Macaca mulatta: one gene and its partner. The protein of the gene in region 1 interacts with the protein of each later gene in a biochemical or structural test. Links are inferred from orthologs where the notes say so. Each region holds a gene or a part of one and is shown in the gene's direction. Other genes may lie near its edges.

Evidence for each region. The genes of interacting proteins can lie anywhere in the genome.
Region 2: the proteins of ERBIN (region 1) and ABCC4 interact in a test that uses a peptide from one of them, tested with the Homo sapiens proteins (2 studies listed by BioGRID and IntAct). The link is inferred for Macaca mulatta from reciprocal best matches to the Homo sapiens genes ERBIN and ABCC4.

Annotation. Positions count from the first base shown.
Region 1 is NC_133411.1:74,157,244-74,160,743, forward strand, and holds part of ERBIN (erbin), read left to right. Parts: intron 1-1,291; coding exon 1,292-2,834; intron 2,835-3,500. UniProt on the Homo sapiens protein: Acts as an adapter for the receptor ERBB2, in epithelia. By binding the unphosphorylated 'Tyr-1248' of receptor ERBB2, it may contribute to stabilize this unphosphorylated state.
Region 2 is NC_133422.1:89,898,992-89,902,491, reverse strand, and holds part of ABCC4 (ATP-binding cassette sub-family C member 4), read left to right. Parts: coding exon 1-145; intron 146-1,779; coding exon 1,780-1,920; intron 1,921-2,657; coding exon 2,658-2,695; intron 2,696-3,084; coding exon 3,085-3,179; intron 3,180-3,500. UniProt on the Homo sapiens protein: ATP-dependent transporter of the ATP-binding cassette (ABC) family that actively extrudes physiological compounds and xenobiotics from cells.

The DNA of each region.
Region 1 (3,500 bases):
GGGAGGTTCTGTAGCCTGGGAGGTTTAGGCTGCAGCAAGTCATGATCAGGCTACTGCACTCCAGCATGGGTGACAGAATTGAGACCCTGTCTCAAAAAAAAAAAAAATGGGGTTACTTGGGGTTACTACTAAACCAAAAGCTTAATGTATGGATATTTTTAACAGTCATTTAGAGTTGTTCTTAAATTTCAGGCGTATTTAAGTAAAATTTGTATATTAACATGTATTGTTGGAAAAGGGATATGAATTTTATGCCTGAAAATGAGTTAAGGTATTGTGTAATTACAATCAATCATTTATTTCTATTCTTTGAATTTGAGGCTATGAGCTACTGTTTAAAATACTAATTTTTATAACCTCCTAGATATTATCGTATTAATTTGTTGAATAATAAAATTTTTTTTATTGTTGGGAAAGTGGTATATTTTCTAAATCCTGCTTTTAATATAATGAATAAAGCCTAAGCAAGGAATACAGCAACACCTTTTTGTGCTGTGTTTCTAGTAATGAAAGTTTTCTTTTTTGTAATGGGAAGACCCAGTATTAGGGAATTTTTGTGGAAACATAACTTGAATATGTATTCAAGAGGACACAAATACTTTATACCACCAGGTAAAAATAAAATATTTTCTATAATTTTGGAGTGACACTTTTAAAAGTATTTGCCAAATACAGCTAGCTACTTAGAAGAGTGATTAGACTTCATGTATCTTTTTATGCCTTTTACATATTTGATATAATACTTTGGACAATTATTCAGTTCTTGGCTTTGTACAGTTTTCTTACCTGTATATTTGAATGTAATAACAGCTGTGTACTTCGTTAACTGTGGTTAATTTGGTTAATAATGTAAGGCTTCAAAATTAACTGTAAAAATGTCCTGTGCGCTTTACTCCACTATTCATGTTACTAGTTTTCTTTCCATATATTTGCCCTCTTTCAAGCATTTTGTTTTTTTAGCATATTCATGAAAAGATGCAGCAGATTAAAAATTCTAATTTTATTCATAGTTCAGCCCTTTGAATTTTGTGACAAATTAGATTGAGCATATTGATGAAAATTAATCTTGGTTTTATCTATAACTTAATTGTATTACTTGTCTGCAACTGAATATAAAGCTCTTTTAAGATAATATTTTTAAATTACATACTTGATAATAAATGCCTTTTGTCTTTGACTTAATTTATTAAGTTTTTTAACTTGTCTACCTACGCAATTTATTTATTAATGTTCCCTGTTACTAAGAAAGTTTGGCTTTATTATGTTTTTCATAAAATTATCTTTATTTTAGGCAAGAAGATGAAAATTTTAACAGCCTTTTACAAAATGGAGATATTTTAAACAATTCAACAGAGGAAAAGTTCAAAGCTCATGATAAAAAAGATTTTAACTTACCTGAATATGATTTGAATATCGAAGAGCGATTAGTTCTAATTGAGAAAAGTGTTGACTCAACAGCCACAGCTGATGACACTCACAAATTAGATCACATCAATATGAATCTTAATAAGCTTATAACTAATGATACGTTTCAACCAGAGATGGAAAGATCAAAACCACAGGATATCATGCTTGGAACAAGCTTTTTAAGCATTAATTCTAAAGAGGAAACTGAGCACTTGGAAAATGGAAACAAGTATCCTAATTTGGAATCTGTAAATAAGGTAAATGGACATTCTGAGGAAACTTCACAGTCTCCTAATAGGACTGAACCACATGACAGTGATTGTTCTGTTGACTTAGGTATTTCCAAAAGCACTGAAGATCTCTCCCCTCAGAAAAGTGGTCCAGTTGGATCTGTTGTGAAATCTCATAGCATAACTAATATGGAGATTGGAGGGCTAAAAATCTATGATATTCTTAGTGGTAATGGACCTCAGCAACCAAGTACAACCGTTAAAATCACATCTACTGTCGATGGAAAAAATATAGTCAGGAGCAAGTCTGCCACACTGTTGTATGATCAACCATTGCAGGTATTTACTGGTTCTTCTTCATCTTCTGATTTAATATCAGGAACAAAGGCAATTTTCAAGTTCGATTCAAATCATAATCCCGAAGAACCAAATATAATAAGAGGTCCCACAAGTGGCCCACAATCTACACCTCAAATATATGGTCCTCCACAGTATAATATCCAATACAGTAGCAATGCTGCAGTCAAAGACACCTTGTGGCACTCCAAACAAAATCCCCAAATAGATCATGCCAGTTTTCCTCCTCAGCGCCTTCCTAGATCAGAGAGCACAGAAAATCAAAGTTATGCTAAACATTCTGCCAATCTGAATTTCTCTAATCATAACAATGTTCGAGCTAATACTGCATACCATTTACATCAGAGACTTGGCCCAGCGAGACATGGGGAAATGTGGGCCATCTCACCAAACGACCGACTTATTCCTGCAGTAACTCGAAGTACAATTCAGCGACAAAGTAGTGTGTCCTCCACAGCCTCTGTAAATCTTGGTGATCCAGGTTCTACCAGGCGGGCCCAGATTCCTGAAGGAGATTATTTATCATACAGAGAGTTCCACTCAGTGGGAAGAACTCCTCAAATGATGCCAGGATCACAGAGACCTCTTTCTGCACGAACATACAGCATAGATGGTCCAAATGCATCAAGACCTCAGAGTGCTCGACCCTCTGTTAATGAAATACCAGAGAGAACTATGTCAGTTAGTGATTTCAATTATTCACGGACTAGTCCTTCAAAAAGACCAAATGCAAGGGTTGGTTCTGAGCATTCTTTATTAGATCCTCCAGGAAAAAGTAAAGTTCCTCATGACTGGAGAGAACAAGTACTTCGACATATTGAAGCCAAAAAGTTAGAAAAGGTAATTGAACGTGAGTTTTTCATTCTTTTCTTTATGAACTTAATTATTTTCCTTAATTGGCACTCTTTGTTTTCTAAACAAGATGAAACAAGAGTCTCTGAATTACTGATTATCTCTTTATATTCTAGGTGTTTTTCTCTGGTACTGGGAATAGAGTTCCAAATTTAAACTCAGCCAGGACAATTGGGATGATAATGTGTGTTTCTATCCTCTCCTTTACTCCCCACTATTTCTAACAAAAATATTAATTTTATATGTTTATGTGTCTGTCTCTTTGAGATTGTGCACATATACTAAAAATAATACATGTATCTCTGTTTAGCATTTTCTGAACTTTGCTATTAATAATTGTTGATTATCTAAATATAAAAAAGTTTACTATATAGTTAACAGAATAACAAAAATGTATTGCATATGTAAATATTTCATCTAATATTTTTTCCCCAGTCCACAGTATATGAACTAACATTGTCACTGACACAGATGGCTTCTGGCATGGCGTTTATTCTTAACTTTTCTGAATTTCTGCATTTCTGACCTACTTAAACTCAGTTAAGTGTTTCTGTGGCTCTAGTGTGGCTTTGCAGTAGTTGCTTAAATAACTGATGCTCATGTTCAATTTATAATTTTATGTGTAGATGTTCGTCTTTTGAAAGGAGTTAAAAA
Region 2 (3,500 bases), on another chromosome or scaffold:
TTTGAAGAAGGACAACGAGGAAAGCGAACAACTTCCAGTTCCAGGAACTCCCACGCTGAGGAATCGCACCTTCTCCGAGTCTTCGGTTTGGTCTCAGCAATCTTCTAGACCCTCCTTGAAAGATGGTGCTGTGGAGACCCAAGATGTGAGTTACCTCCTGTTACAACACGGCCTGGTTTTGTTGACTGCTAATGGCCTTATGGATCTTTAGTCTCCTCTGTTTGAAGCATCGTCTTTTGTCCCAAAGTAGATTCTGTGGTTTCAAGGCCCTGTTCCGTGATATTGGTAGATTAAAACAGAACCAAGGCAAACAACTCTGGTTGGAGTAATCCTTTGCGTGTAGGCTGGGGAATGTCATGGAGATGAGTAGCAGGTGTGTGTACTGGTGCAAGTCCCAAGCTGTGTGTGACTCACGCTAATATTACAATTCTTGAATTTACTGTAGTGAAGTCCTAGTTAGTCTGGTAGACCCCGACTTCTCTTTGCATCCAGAGGCATAATTTGAAGACCACCTTAGAGAAAGTCCTGCTGTGGGCCACATGAAGTTAGCCACTTTTCCTATATGTTGGAATGTTCTGACGCCGCACGTGGCTGAGGGAGGTATTTTGCCCTGTTGTCAGATGGTTTATGTTAGGCTAGAAGTAGCACGTGCAAAGACCCAACAGTTGCTGACACACAGCAGCCCATCTTCCTTCTTTACCTTTCAAGGGTAGGAGCTGCATCTTACTCATCTTGGTATTCCCAGTGGCCAACATAGAGCTGCTCAGTACATCCTCAGAGTATGTGAATCTCATGCCTTCTAAGTCCTCCAGGCAGAAATGTACCAGAGCTCACTTAAAAACATAGATATTCCTTGCCACACTAACCCTCACTATCCAAATCCAGGAGCCTGAAGGATTCTTGCAGATATTCAGATTAGGCCCTCACATGCCAAATTCTCAGGAGTCAATTTCTGAAACTCAGGAACCAAACAGATTAGGATCATATGCTATCCCTTGCTTTCCAAACTCTGGTTACTCAGACTCACTGCTTGAACCCAGTTACTGTATTGAGCTCATGTTTTGACCTTCTGCTCTTTTATGCTTCCATATTGAGTGATGCAGTTGAGAGTTCCATATCTTTCTGTACATGATTTTGGAACAAGTTTCTGTATGTATACTTGAATTTGGATGTGCTCGGTAAGTGCTGGACATTCTGATGTCATCCTGCCAGCAAGCCATGCCACAGTGTACAAATGATATTTCCTTACCTCTAGTAGAACCTTGAAAGTGGGATGGCTGAGTCCAGGGATTAGTGCATGTAGCTGGGTGTGGTGGCTCATGCCTGTCATCCCAGCACTTTGGAAGGCTGAGGCAAGAGGATCACCTGAGGTCAGGAGTTCCAGACCAGCCTGGCCAACATGGTGAAAACCTGTCTCCACTAAAAAATACAAAAATTAGCCAGGCGTGGTAGCAGGCATCTGTAATCCCAGCTACTCAGGAGGCTGAGGCAGGAGAATCGCTTGAACCTAGCTAGGAGGCAGAGGTTGCAGTGAGCCAAGATCGCTCCACTACACTCCAACCTGGGCAACAGTAGCGAAACTTCGTCTCAAAAAATATTAAATAAATAAAAAGTAAGTACATGTATAGTTTGGCTGGATATTTCCACACCCTTCTCCACAGGAGATGGATCATTTTGGACTTCTGCCTGTTTCCCCACAGCTTTGTCAACAGAGTGCATTGTCATCTTTGGGAACAGTTTTGTATACGATTTTGTCTCTTACCACCCTTTCCTTTGCAGACGGAGAATGTCCCAGTTACACTCTCAGACGAGAACCGTTCTGAAGGAAAAGTTGGTTTTCAGGCCTATAAGAATTACTTCAGAGCTGGTGCTCACTGGATTGTCATCATTTTCCTTATTCTCCTAAACACTGCAGCTCAGGTAAATAATGACATTTGTTTTGTGCCCTCAAAATGATATTTACAGTACCTGTGTTTATGCTATTTTGACTGCATCTTGCAGTTCACTTGGGATCTGAATTGAAATGTGCTGTCTTTGGGGAACAAAGTGAGGGCTGCCTAGTGGTGTCCCATTACAAAGACCTTCTGCGGAAAAAAAAAGGGTATCTTTCAATGATTTTAAAATGGAACATGCGTTTTCTTGAGTTCTTGATATCTGGGAGTTTGGGCTCAGCGTAGACCTGAGCTGGAAGAACTATGCAAGTTCTCTGAGCTTTTTATTCTTTCTATTTTTTTCTTTTTCTCTTTTTTTCTTTTTTTTTTTTTTGAGATGGAGTTTTGCACTGTTGCCCAGGTTGGAGTGCAGTAGCGCAATCTTGGCTCACTGCAACCTCCGCCTCCCGGGCTTAAGCAGTTCTCCTATCTCAGCCTCCGGAGTAGCTGGGACTACAGGCACATGTGCCACCATGCCTGGCTAGGCTCATTTTTGTATTTTTAGTAGACCTAGGGTTTCATTATGTTGGCCAGGCTGGTCTTGAACTCCTGGCCTTAAGTTGATCTGCCTGCCTCAGCCTCCCAAAGTGCTGGGGTTGCAAGCATGAGCCACCACGCACAGCTTTGAGGGCTTTCTTTCGATTGTCCATGTTAGCGATTGAGAGTTTTGAGTTGGTAAGTCATGCCCAAGTTTGATTTTTGTCTTTGTTGTTTCTCACCTCCTAGGTTGCCTATGTTCTTCAAGATTGGTGGCTTTCGTACTGGTAAGTTATTTCTGACGTATGAAATAGTCAAACATCAGTAAGAAGACTCGCTTTTCCGTAGAGTTAGGGGGAGATATTTGTTGATCCTTCTCTTCTAATCCTCACTTAGTTTACCCGAAGAAAAGTTAGAGTGCTTGCTGGTGGAGTGTAACCTGTGGTGGTCTCCACCCATGTCTGATCCGCGGCATCATGTTCACAGACAGTTTCGGGAACTGAAAGTCGTGATTTAAATTGAATTTTTATGAGGTAGATACACACAGGACTATATGAGCTGAGAATCATTTTCCAGCATAAAGCATTTCTCTCAAATTGTGGTTCATTTTTTAAAAAAAGGTATTTCTCTAAATTCCATATATAGCTTAATATTTTTTTCTCCCCATGTTCCATAGGGCAAACCAACAAAGTACGCTAAATGTCACTGTAAATGGAGGAGGAAATGTAACCAAGAAGCTAGATCTTAACTGGTACTTAGGAATTTATTCAGGTAAAGTTAAATCATTTGGTCTATTATATGAGAGGCTGAGGTGCTTACAATGAGCCTGTGTGAGTAACCAGGGCTTCCAGGAGTAATTCAGTAATGTCTTAACAGATTAGGAGTCTCAGTCGAATTTACTCTGTGAATTAATTAGAATAATTATTTTAAAAGTCTACTAGAAGAAAGAGGTTGAATGAAGACTCTTAATGTGCTCTGTACTGGATTTTGAAAGTTAAACCAGGATTGAGCATTCAGAAAATCAGCCACTGGAAATATGTGGCTATTGTCTATTCTAATAGGTTGCTTTAGCTAAATCTTATATCATTATAC